3 linked regions of the Cricetulus griseus genome follow. The protein of the gene in region 1 interacts with the protein of each later gene in a pairwise test. Links are inferred from orthologs where the notes say so. Each region holds a gene or a part of one and is shown in the gene's direction. Other genes may lie near its edges.

Region 1 (4,276 bases):
TCTATCTCGTCCTTAATCTAGCAGGCCTCTACAGGGTTGCTCTTTATAGTGTCTGCTAGAATTCCATGAAGCCACACACTCCAGCGTCATGCGCCACCAGTCTGCTATTAAAACTTATTTTTTTTTTTTCCGGATTGGAGTTTAATCTAATCCCTGTCGCCAAAACAGTTCTCCTGGCTCCATCTCCTAGCTTCCTAAAAACGCTTATTCGGCCTTTTATTGGGCCCACAGTCCAATTCAGGAACTAGGAAAACCATGACATTGAAGGAATTTGAAAAAAAAAAAAAAAAAGCCCAGGAAGGACGAGGGTTATAAATTTATTCAGCCTTCTTCATAATTTCCTTGCAGGTCCTTGGAAAGGCCAGGGAGAAAGAAGGCTGTGTCCAGACGACCTGCTGCAGAGAGACACTTTCTTAAGCCAGAGCCCCTTGAAAGGAATGATCAGCGCCACCAGTACCCCATTCTCCTACTTTCCTTTTTACACCGGACTTGTGAAAATTCTCAAGGCCCTGCACCTACCTTGAGCACCAAGTGACTAAGTGAAAGGAGCAAGACTTTTAATGTCACCTATCTCCACCAGTGACTGCGTACACGTGTGAACAAGGAAAAGGCGACCTCTCTTGAGTTTTCCCGACTCCTCTTATCTCCTAGGAGACACGAGGGCATCCTGGGTCACTGAGCATTGCCTGGTTCGCACAGGCTCCAGTCCGTCCCCATCCTTCCTGGATAACCAAGCCACCACGTCCCGCAGCGCCCGAAACACACTTTGGCCAGAAACCCCCTCTTCCCGTGAAGTTGTGCTCGCATTCTAACCACCGCACCAACAGTAAGTAACCCGCGTCCACCTAAACCCAGGCAGAGCCGCCTCCCCAAGGTAAGCTGTTTACTCGTCGCCGTCCTGGCGATCCTCCCTGGACAGCTGCGGCAGCGACAGCAGCTGCGCCGCGGCCCCGAGCGCTGGGCACTCCTCCTTCCTCCCTCCCGGGTCTCCGATCTCACTCCTGCAGGCCACTCGCACACGGGCAGCCGTCACCACACACCCGGGAGTGTGCGCGGGGACCCAGGGGGGTGGGCAGGCGTGGCGGCACGCAGCAGCCCAGCTCCTGCCGGCCCGTGCTCCCGGCCCAGCCTCCCTCCTCTCTGCCCACCTCTGTGACACCTGAGCGGCCACTGGGCGGTGGGGGTTGCAGGCCCGCGGGACCGAGTGGCACCCCGGAGAAAACAGAGCAGGGGGCGGGACGGCAGCACAGACCACCGCCTTAGCGGTGAGGAGCGCGCGCCGCAGCCTATGAGCTTGTGAGAGCAGGGCGTGGGGGCGGGCCCGGGGGCGGGCCCCGAGGAGGAGGCGGCCCGGGCGCTGGAGGCGGGGGCGGTGGGGAGGAAGGGGAGGAGGCGGAGGCGGGCGCGGTGGTGGTGGTGGCGGCGGCCGGCACGGCGGCGGAGGCGAGGTTGTGCCCCGGACTGTGTCCACCGAGCTCGGCGGCTGTTGCCTGTGCGTGGAGAAGCAGCGGCGCCGCGAGGCAGAGCGGGATCGCGGGCGAGCGCGGCGGCGGGACGTCCACGGCGGCCGCGGCCCCGGCGGCGGCCGGCGACGATCGGCGTGGGGAAGCAGCGGCGGCCGCAGCGGCAGCCGCCTCTTCGCCACCGGGACGCCAGGCGCGGCTGGCGGCGCTGACATCCACGGCCCTGCCTCTCCTCCCTCGCCCCCGGCCCTCCCCATGTGATCGGTCTTAATCCCGACCGTGTGCGCGCGTGGGGGCTCCATTGCGCGGCGCTCGGTGTCGGTGCCCGGGTGGGTGCTCGCGTGCGCTTCTCCTCCCCATCCCCCGCCCCGTCCCCAAGAATAAAAGAAGAACCGGGAGGCGTGCTCAGAAAATAAATAAATAACCAGCACACACGCGCAGCCCGGAGCGAGGCGGCGGGGCTGGCGGCGGCGGAGGAGGAGTGAAGGCGGCGGCGACGGAGGAGGGACGCGCGGAGCCGGCAGTAACTTTCGAGCCAGCCCAGAGCCCGGAGCTCCAGCCGAGCGGTTTGCAGCGCGGCGGCGGCGGCGGCGGCGGCGGCGGCGCTGAGTGTCTGGCCCGCCGGTGCGGTCGGGGTGTGCAGTCGGACGGGACGAGCAGCGCGTCGCTGTCCCCCCCTCCCGGCGGCTGGAGATGTCCGAGTCCAAGGCGATTGATCCCAAGTTGTCGACGACCGACAGGGTGGTGAAAGGTAAGCGCAGCGCCGTGGCGGCCCGGGGTGCACCGAGTGCCGCAGGCGCCCGGCCGCCCCTCCCCCGCCCCGGTTGTCCCTCTCCGGCTCGCGCCGGGGACCTTCTAGGATCTCCTGCAAGCGGCGATCCCCCTCCTCCGCCGCGCCCTGCCCCCACACCGCCCACCCGGCCCCAACAGGGGCATTTTGTGTGTGTGTGTGTGTGTGTGTGTGTGTGTGTGTGTGTACGGGGGGCAGCAGTTGGCAAATGGCTGAGCGCCTGGGAGGCGGTGGCGGGTGGCGGTGGCGGGGTGGGCGGTGGCGGGAGGGGGCGCCCGGGGGGGGGGTGACTGCTGGCAGGGTGTAGCTGCTGTGACAGAAATAGGAAGTGGGTGGCTGCTCGCGGGCTTGCATGGGATCGGGTTTATGGCTTGCTCTTTGTAGAGGGAGGGGAGGTGATTTATGGCTTTTAAAAAATTAATAGGGCATTTTTATGTGGCCGTGGCTTGCCGCGGACTGGCTCGCCCGGGCACGGTGCTCCAGGCGCTCCATTGCAGCAGTTCCCCGGGCGCCCCCTCCCCCTCCGCGGGAAGGGCCTGCACAGGACTCGCGAGAGAGCGGGAGAGCGTGGGGGGAGCCCAGCTCCGGCTGCCTCGCGCCGCGGGGCGGGGGGCCGCGGGGGCGGGGGCGGCGTGGGGCAGCGCCAGGCGGCGGGCGACCCGAGCGCCCCACCCCCACCCCCTGGCCGCCCCGGGATTTCCCTGCAGGCCTGGAGCAAAGAGAGCGGTGGCGGTCCTCTGTCGACCTCCCTTGTCACCCATGGCTGGCTGCCGCCGACCTGTCATTGCTCTTAAAGGGTTCCCTGCTGGTGCGAGACTCTAGGGTGGGAAGCTCACCCTGCTCCCTTTCCCCAAGCTCCTGACACCCCCTTGGTAACGGGCTACTTGATTCTCTGATTGCCAGGGATGACATGTATGTGTACAACTGGCAGCGATGGCTATGCGTTGCTGGCTAGGAGAAACCCTGCTTAGGGTGAGGGAGGGGACAACGTGGTTGCCCTTTCTATACTCCTGCTGAGAAGGGATCCCACCATCCTCACTGTATTCCAACGTGGAATAGGGGAGGAACCGCAGATCCGCAAGGATTAAATAGTGTCACTTATTCTTGGGATCAGGGTACTGAGCAAAGCCGAGATGGGCACCAGCCTGTGCAGACTGTGCCTCTGAAACTGGAAGCAAAGATGGGGGTGGAGTGTGTGTGTGTGTGTGTGTGTGTGTGTGTGTGTGTGTGTGTGTGTGTGTGTGTGTGTGTGTGAGATATGAACAGAGATGGTTGGTGTCTTATGCAGCCAGAGCATTCAGTTGGAGTGCAAAGCAATCAAGTCATTTGCTCCAGAAACACTTAGGTGAAAGTAACCCGGCACCCAAAGACCATGATACATAGTCTCTGGAGTCTTGGGAAAAAAAATCCTTGCTCCTTTCACATTTGCTCGGTTTTTTCAAGCCCCCCCCAATCTCTCTCTCTCTCTCTCTCTCTCTCTCTCTCTCTCTCTCTCTCTCTCTCTCTCTCTCTCTGTGTGTGTGTGTGTGTTATGTTCTCTTTTATGAGAGAATAAAACATTATCTCTCCTTTTGGATACATTGGGATCAATCCTACTTCAATGTAGGATTCATAGAGCCATCAAAATAAAGAAGGAATAGCTCTGCAAAAAAAAAAAAAAAAAGGTAATAGAGCTACAGAGGCACAACTATCTTTTCTGCAGGCATGGGTCCTTATGTAAACACTGGATGCAAATCCATTCCAAAGAACTGTGTTGTACTTCCGTTGGCTTAAAAATTAAGACCTTTTGTGTAAAATACCAGAGAACAACAGATCTCTGTAATGTGTGAAATTTAGGTGTGACTCCAATCAAAAGATAACATGTTTTCTAAACAGTTAAGGCAATAGTTTACAACTTAGATGGTACTGTGTGTTGGTAGTGAAGTAAAAGTAGTGTGTTCATGTAATGTCACACTCCCCATATTAAATCTCAAAATGTGGATTTTTTAAAATGTGAATTTAGATTGACATTGTCATAAAGCAA
Region 2 (4,133 bases), on another chromosome or scaffold:
AGTACAGAATTTCCATGCAAGCAGAATAATTTGCCTAACTTAGGATGTCTACCAACTAAAATCCATTCCATTCTGTAGATCGTTATTTTTTGGTGGTACTGGGGATCAAATCTCAGACCTTGTGGCTAGGCCAACGGTCTATCCCTGAGCTATATACCCAGACCCACAGCTTAGCTTTGCATATTCTTTTCTCTTGAGACAGGGTCTCAGGTAACCAGTGCTGGCTTCAAATACACTATATGGCTGTGGATGACCTTGATTGGTTCTCCTGCCTCCACCTCCCACATGCTGGTGTTGCCTGGTGCACCACCAAAACCAGCCTCAAATGGAAGTCAGATCACGAGCTTCAGAAGCAGGTGGGCTTCAGAAGCAGGCACCTCAGGTTAAACCTGAGCACTAAGGCTGACTAGCTTTAATCTTAGGCAGGCTGCTTAACTGCAGATGGAGATCTCACCACCTCCTCACTCTGGGATACTGTGGTGCAGGTTAGAGATGCATGAGAAAGTGCTTAGCGCCGCCTCATACCCAGGAGTTGCACAACCAGTGTTGGCTATTACCTCACTAACCTCCAGCTGTGTGCAGTTATAGTGGGAAAGTGTGAGTAGCAGACACTTCGGTGAAAATGTCAAAGTTACACAACAACTTTAAGATGGAAGAACGACAGTCTGAGCAATGCTGGGTTTTTCTGAGAGTCTGTATGGAAAGTAGCACCTCCTTGATGGAATGTACAATTTTAGAACGGAAACCGTATGCTACAATAGAAAGAACACCAGAGAGTCAAAATTTGTACTTCTGACTCTGGCTAGGACCTCATCTAGCCTAAGGCTTTCTGCAAGCCCATTACCCACTGGGGAGCTCAATTTCGTCATTGGGCTGGACTTGATTAATCTTGAGTCATCTCCCAGGTCCTTAGCAATGCCATAGTTCTTCACTGAAGGTGATGAGAAAGGAGTCCCGCTGCCCTATCACTTGCAGTCTGTTGTTTTGTTGTTGTTGCTTGTTAAACTTTTTATGTGGGGCTATAAAATTCATGGAGAAGTCAACTAAGGACCAGGGCACTCTTGCAGAGTGACCACAAACAAAGTTTTAACAAAAATAATAGAACAAAATGGGTTCACACAGGAAGCTTTTTTGATAGGGCAAAAGCAAGCCTCAATTTGAAGCCATGGTTGTTTTGGTATGTACCACAGGGCATATGCCCCATATAACGTAAGTTATATTAAAAATAATAGGCTCGTGGTGAAATATAACCCCACTTTTTTCTCTTATCAGGTTGATCTTTGAATAAAGGCGAATTTTATCCAGGAAAGAGCTTTCATTCGAAGGGGAAAATAAAGGAAGAATCATAAGCAACAGATAAACAAGGCAGTTATGTCCTGAAAAAGCTATAGAAACAACTGTGGAGTGAAAGCAGGGCAGGCACCCAGGAGAAATTGGACTTGGTGTGATATTTTTGTCACAAAAGGCTTCAAGAGGAAGAGAGAAGACACTTCCCAGAGAATGAAAGAGTGTAGTGTAAAAATGGAGACCAAAGTTTCTGAGATTCAGATAGAAACTAAGGATGAGAAGGGGCCAGTAGCTGTTAGTCCTCAGGAAGAGAGGCAGCAGAGAAAAACAGCCACTCTTTGCTTCAAGAGAAGGAAGAAAGCAAACAAGATGAAACCTAAATCTGGTTCCAAAACTGCTGAGGCCACAAAAAAGCATCCCCCAGAAGCTGGGGCTTCTGATCAGCCACAGCCAGCAGGGGCCTGGGCCTCCATCAAACGCCTTGTCACACACAGGAAAAGGTCAGGGTCTTCGGAGAAGCAGAAGCCATCTGAGGCTGAAGTACAGCCCGAGGACTCGGCTCTTCCTAAGAAAAAGGCAAAATCCAGACTCAAGATTCCTTGCATAAGATTCTCAAGAGGGGCAAAGAGAGGTCATCATTCTAAACTCACAGACGATTCAGACTACAACCTCAGAGTCCAAGGAGGGGCTGAGGATTTGGAGACAAAAACCCAGACTCAGTCAACTGACCAAGCTAAGTCCATACAGGGCCCACAGGAAGGTGGGTTGGTGGACAGTAAGGAGGCCCAAGAATCGCATGTCAGCAACAGCATCACATCTAGAGAGAATGTGATTTCTGTAGAACTGGAATTAGAAAAGGAGGCTTCTGCTATTCAGATGGGAACTCCAGTGCTGGAGAAGGAAACTAAAGGGATTAAGGAAAAGCCAAGCGTACAAGCGCAGCAAGCAAGTCCACTCGGGAGTTCAGAAACAGACAGCCCCCGTCCAGTGGCTTCTGATGTTCCTGCCTCACCAGCAACCACCTATCAACGCAGTGTGGAAGAACCCAGGGATGGCATTCAAGAAAGTGCACCAAGTAGAAAAGATGACAGAAGTGGAAAGAGTACAGCTGAAGAAAAGAAATCCGGAGAAATTGTGCTGGGCCAGGCCAAAGAAACTACATTGAGCCAGACAGAAAAAGCTGCTGTCAGCCAGGCAGACAAGAGTGCAATGGCCCAGGCAGAGGAAGGTACCATGGCTGCCATGGCCCAGACAGAAGAAGGTAAACTGAGCCAGGCAGAGGAAGCTTCAGTGGCTCAGGCAGAGGAAGTTGCCTTGGCCCGAGCAGAGGAAGCCATCGTGGCCCAGACAGAGGAAGGTAAACTGAGTCGAGCAGAGGAAGCCACCATGGCCCAGACAGAGAAAGGTAAACTGAGCCAGGCAGAGGAAGCTGCCGTGGCCATCGTGGCCCAGGTAGAGGAAGCTTCAGTGGCTCAGGCAGAGGAAGTTGCCTTGGCCCAAGCAGAGGAAGCCACCATGGCCCAGGCAGAGGAAGGTAAACTGAGCCAAGCAGAGGAAGCTGCTGTGGCCACTGTGGCCCAGACAGAGGAAGGTAAACTGAGCCAGGCAGAGGAAGCTTCAGTGGCTCAGGCAGAGGAAGTTGCCTTGGCCCAAGCAGAGGAAGCCACTGTGGCCCAGGCAGAGGAAACTGCAGTGGCCCAGGCAGTGGAAGGTAAACTGAGCCAGACAGAGGAAGCTTCAGTGGCTCAGGCAGAGGAAGTTGCCTTGGCCCAAGCAGAGGAAGCCACCGTGGCCCAGGCAGAGGAAACTGCAGTGGCCCAGGCAAAGGAAGACGCCGTGGCCCAGGCAAAGGAAGACGCCGTGGCCCAGGTAGTGGAAGGTAAACTGAGCCAGACAGAGGAAGCTGCACTGAGCCAGGCACCAGATCTGAAAGAAAATGGAATCGATACAGAGAAACCCAGATCAGAAGAAAGCAAAAGAATGGAGCCAATTGCTATTATCATCACTGACACTGAAATCAGTGAATTTGATGTTAAGAAATCTAAAAATGTCCCCAAGCAATTCCTAATTTCAATGGAAAATGAGCAAGTAGGGGTTTTTGCTAATGATAGTGATTTCGAAGGGAGAACTTCAGAACAATATGAGACACTCTTAATAGAAACAGCCTCTTCTCTCGTCAACAATGCTATCCAGTTGTCTGTAGAACAGCTGGTTAATGAAATGGTGTCTGAGGATAATAAAATAAATACTCTGTTACAGTGACTTCATTTCCAGATCATGGGAAAGGAAGAAAACAACTCAAAGATGAGTTCTTTTATACATTTGTGGCACTTCTTTCTCAGTAATAAATTAAAGGCTTGTCATCTGTGGAATTTAGAGGGGAAGTTCCAGCCCAGAAGTGCTCAAGAAAAAATGAAGTTTATAAAACTCATTGAAACACAGTCACTTCTGGACTGGAGGGAGTCAGCATAGATCACAAGGTGCAGTGACATGCAGGAAGGTGCAGAATGACCTACGATGAGTTCAGTGTGTTGAGAAAGACTACTTATTGAACACTTGGTGTGCTGTGTGCTCCTTGCTGTTCCCTAATGTCGTGAAGTCTGGGTCTTTCCTGATGGTTCGACCCTGTATATAGGCGAACACTGCCTTTGCTTTTCTTTTACAGTATGTTTTCCTGTTATTTCTAATGGTGAGTCAGGTGGGCTGGTGTTTTGTCCCTCACGGGTTCCTTACAAAGCCATTCACAGGTTTCTTCAGCCGGGCGAGTAGTTAACAAGTGTGTAAGCGTGGAAACAGGGGAGTGCTTTTTCTTCTCTCCCCGTCTTCCTTCTGCCCAGAAGACCTGT
Region 3 (4,289 bases), on another chromosome or scaffold:
TAACCCTGCCCCATTGCTCTATGTCCAACGTGGACATAGAGCAGTTGGCAGCTCAGAAAGTAGCCTGTTGGGACTCATGGGAGGTGATATACCGTTAGGGGACATGACCTTGGCTCTTGGGAGATACCAGGGATCCCCAAAAAAGTCAGGCATGAAGGAGGCAAATGTTCATCATTTATGTGCACACATGTGAAAGCATCCCCTTCCTGCCCTGGGTGAAGGAACAGGGCTCGGGGGACATGTGAGATGTGAGATGTTGTGCTATAGAACTGTGACAAGAGCAAATGCCCTGCTGCAGCTACTAAGCACTTCTGTTCATCCTGGTTCATGCCTGCAAACAGGCATGGCAGGCAGGAGCATAGTGCTTACCCAGGAATGCCCACGTCACACCAAGACCTCCCTGGGCGTTCAAGCTGGGGCAGCTCCCACCTTGTCTGAGGAAGGTGAGCAGGGAACTATCCTGCCCACCTGCCCACTTCTGTTGGAATGCTGAAGACTATATGATCCATTTTGTATCACTTTGGCCTGAACAAAGCCAGGGCCTGTAACTTCACTAGAGTTTTTAGTGATGGCTCAAAGTAGGAACATGAATATCTGTGTATTCCACTCTTCTGCCCTGGACCCCTTGTAATCATTTGGAAGATAGCTCCAGGTGTGGAGAGCTGGAGCTTGAAGAGTGGGCGTGACACTATAGGCTTGTGACAAAGAACTGAGCTAGGCAGGTGAGTGGGACTTCAAGGAGCCACCCCCCTCCCCAAGCCATTAAGACACAGGCCTGAAAGCCACACCTGGGCTTGAAGAGTGTGGGTGTGTGGGCCTGTGGAGGAGGGGGATTGGGGAAGCCATGTCATATCTCTGGCACTGAAAACATAAACACAAAGAAGGCTAGGCACTGGCCCATGTTTTTGAGCCCAGCACTTGGAAGATAGAGGCCAGAGGATCAGGGGTTCAAGGGCTGCTTGGGTGGGCGACAACAGACCCTATCTCAAACACTACAAAAGAAACCATGATGCTAGGGGTAGGGAGTGGAGAGGCGGCAGCCCAAGTCCTCTTAGTCTGCACGCTCAGGTCCTCTGCCAGCTGTGGCAGAAGGAAGCACGTGGCCAGTCAAAATGCCAGAACCCAGCAGCAGGGAAGCCCGTGGGTCACAATGCCACCTGAACCTTCCAACCGCAGCGACGAGCTGGGGGCGTAACTTCTACGTCTCTGCAGGAGAGGCGGAGCCGGGCGCCCCTTTCCCTCCACAGCACCAGGGACAGCTGCCGGTGTCCAAACTTTCCCGAGTGCAGGGAGGACGGCTGGGGTGGGGGAGGCGGGCCGGGAGGCGCGGCGGCCCGGGTTGTGACTGCGCCCAGGGCGGGCTGCGGGGCGGAGCGGCCTGGGCGGCGCCGCCCTCCAGGTGCCGGGCGGGGGCTGAGGCTAGCGCCGCCGCGGGGAGAGCAGGCCGGGCCATGACCCCCGCAGCCCGCGGCTGCAGGCGCGTCGCCTGGTGTCCCGCACGGCCACCAGCGTCCGCGCCCAGCGCGCTCCAGAAAGCGGTGAGTGCGTGTGCGCCGTGCGCGCCCCGGCGGACACATCCGGACCTGGGAGGAACCCAAGACAGGGGACCCCAGAGCCATGGAGACCAGGGACGGTGGGGATTCCGGGGTGGGTGGAAATCCAGGACGGTGGAGACCGGGGTTGGAGAACCCTAGAGCGTAGGTACCCCAGGGCGGGGTGGAGACGCCGGGGGAGGGGCTGTGGAGACCCCAAGGTGGTAGAGACTTAAGAGTGATGGGGGCACCTTTTGGTCCCAAGGCGTCCCACAACTTCCCGCGGACTTCGCTGCCCAGCTCGGTTCCTTTTGGCTGCATGCCTGGCATTGGGCGGGGGCGTGTCCCGAGCGTGGCAGCCTCAGACCCTTCTATGCACCGGGTTTGGCTGTCAAGTAGCCGAGCAGTCGGGCGAGGTGGGGGCAGGAGGCCTCGGGAGGAACCGCTTCCCTCCACCAAGTGTTTCGAATGTATTATTGATGAGCTGCCTCGCTTAGGGGCGCCCAGTACATCAAAGCAGCCTGGTGACCGCAAAGGGTGACCCGCGCAAAGCAGGCACTTCTCCTGGCAGGGCTGGCCCGGGCAGATCTGGGGAGGGCGCTTATTTAAAAGAGGATCCTCAGCTCCCCTGGGGGACTGTGAGGGCAGGAGGGACTTCTGGCCTTTGCCAAGAGAACAGTAGCAGCAATGTAGAAGTCATTCCCGAGAGAGTATAGAAATGTTTTACAGATAGGGAAACTGAGTCCCAGGTGCCTTCTCCTGAGTGGTAGACTCTGCTGTCTCTCTCCAGCCTGAGACACTTCCTGGCCCTGTCTTGGGTTGTGCTACCAGCTAAGAGCACCTCTTACAGACCCCTTTCCTTCCCAGACCACAATGTGGACTGTCCTGGGTAGGCCATACCCACCTCCGGCCCTGTCCTGTTCCCCCTCCCCCGAGTCCAGGTCCTCTGCACAGGAGAGAGGCCGTGTATTTATGGAAAGTCTTAATCCCTCCACCAGCCCCAAGGCTGTGGAAATCTGTGTCTAATCTGTCCCTGGAAGGCCTCAGCTGGTGGGCACACACCAGGCAGGAGTGTGTGTCCCCTAGGGAGGTGTAGGTCACTCAAGAGACTTAAAAATCAACTCGTCCTCAGGAGGACGCTGAGATGTTAGTGCTTAGCCAGCAGTTGGCCTGTGCCAGACCTGCACCAGCTGTTTTCACACTCACACCAACCCTCTAACCCACGCCTCCTCTTGTCCCCATTTTAAAGGCAGGAAACTGAGGCAGAAAGGTAGATAAGGCCAAGTGTTAGCCCAGAGGCAACAGAGAATGGCTCTCATCTTGGGGGGGGGGCTGCAGAATCATGGGAAATGACCCACCATAGAGAATGATTGAGGATAGCCCACTCAACAGAAACCCATCATTCTCCCAAGGCCCAACACAGCCTTTGTTTCCTGATAGTAGCCACCAAGAACACAGTACTCATTTCTGCTATGCCCCTGTGTTCAGTCTTTCAGAAAACAAAAAATCTTTTTCAATTTATTTCTGTGTGTAAGAATGTTTTGCTTGCATGTATGACTACCCATACACATGCCTGGTGCCCTTGGAGGGCATTGGATCCTGTGGAGCTGGTTGTGAGCTACCATGGGATGCTGGGAATAGAATCCAGGTCGTCTGCAAGAGCAATAAATGCTCTTAACCACTGAGCCATCTTCCCCTCACTGCATCTCACCCTCCATGTTCAATCTTAACTGCTATAGAAAACATGAGGACATTCCCTTGCACTGTAGGCTTTGTTTAGCAGATGTTTCTAATGGTTTGAAGAGAGTGGGGCATGAGGGCCACTAAGTGGCCCAGAGCAGGTAGCAGGCTGGTGGGAATTCAGGGCTAGCCCTCGGTGGGGTCTTGGTGGCTGTTGGCCTCTCTAGGTTCCCTGAGACTTTCAGGTTGGCAGTCTGGCCTTGGCCAGCATCTGTTCTCAGCATGGTGCCTGCCTGGGCTGGAATTGAAAGAATTCTAATCCTGTCACACAAATAAAGTGACTTTCCTAAGCAAGGAAGAAACCCAGATGTGGGTGTGCCCAGCATGCTTCAAGCAGGAAGCAGTCTGTGTGGGAGCTTAAGAAACAGCTAAGGTACCAGTTTGCCCTGCCCAGCCTTCTCCAGCCTCTCAGGTCCACACACAAATGGTCCGACTGCTCCTGCCCAGCCTGGTCCTTAAAGGAGGGCTTTGTTAAGGAGTTGGGGCACCGTGCCACTGTGACTCAGGCTCTCTTGGCAGGGTCATTCATGTGGGAGGTGACTGGGCAGAGAGCATGCCCAGAGGGGCTCCCAGCCCAACAGCCTGCTTAGTATTCATTCATACACTCATGACAGCTGATGTTAGAATCAGGACTATGGCTAAAGTAGCCAAGGTTCCAAAGAAGAAAGTAAAGGGGCCCAGCTCAGGCCAGTTGAAGGTCCACACTGAATCAGATAAGACCCAGGCATCCTACCTTCAGCCTGGAGCCTGTCACTCCATCCCTCAGCAGCTCCAGGCTTGTGTGGCTCTAGACACAGGCTGGTCCTGTCTTCTATGAGCAGGCCCACACCATAGTGACTTCTTTTTTCTGTTGCAAGCCTGTGAGAGCCAGATGGTGAAGTCACTTCTGATGGACATTGGTCCACTGAAGACCTCATTGCCCACTTGTGTCTCTTCCCCACCTCCCACTTGTATTGATCAATTGCTTGAGTTCTGAGGAAGGAGTTGCAAAAAGGTCAGGAGAACATGGGTGGGAAC

The links.
Region 2: the proteins of serine/threonine-protein phosphatase 2B catalytic subunit alpha isoform (region 1) and Akap5 interact in binary tests that used the Homo sapiens proteins (3 or more experiments, as listed by UniProt). The link is inferred for Cricetulus griseus from reciprocal best matches to the Homo sapiens genes PPP3CA and AKAP5.
Region 3: the proteins of serine/threonine-protein phosphatase 2B catalytic subunit alpha isoform (region 1) and CUNH16orf74 interact in binary tests that used the Homo sapiens proteins (3 or more experiments, as listed by UniProt). The two-hybrid records come from large-scale screens. The link is inferred for Cricetulus griseus from reciprocal best matches to the Homo sapiens genes PPP3CA and C16orf74.

What each region holds. Positions count from the first base shown.
Region 1 is NW_023276806.1:22,889,620-22,893,895, reverse strand, and holds the start of serine/threonine-protein phosphatase 2B catalytic subunit alpha isoform, read left to right. Parts: upstream 1-1,421; 5' UTR 1,422-2,156; coding exon 2,157-2,214; intron 2,215-4,276. UniProt on the Homo sapiens protein: Calcium-dependent, calmodulin-stimulated protein phosphatase which plays an essential role in the transduction of intracellular Ca(2+)-mediated signals. Many of the substrates contain a PxIxIT motif and/or a LxVP motif.
Region 2 is NC_048598.1:127,161,990-127,166,122, reverse strand, and holds the start of Akap5 (A-kinase anchor protein 5), read left to right. Parts: upstream 1-1,295; 5' UTR 1,296-1,500; coding exon 1,501-3,549; 3' UTR 3,550-4,133. UniProt on the Homo sapiens protein: Multivalent scaffold protein that anchors the cAMP-dependent protein kinase/PKA to cytoskeletal and/or organelle-associated proteins, targeting the signal carried by cAMP to specific intracellular effectors.
Region 3 is NC_048596.1:197,251,973-197,256,261, reverse strand, and holds the start of CUNH16orf74 (uncharacterized protein C16orf74 homolog), read left to right. Parts: upstream 1-1,451; coding exon 1,452-1,538; intron 1,539-4,289.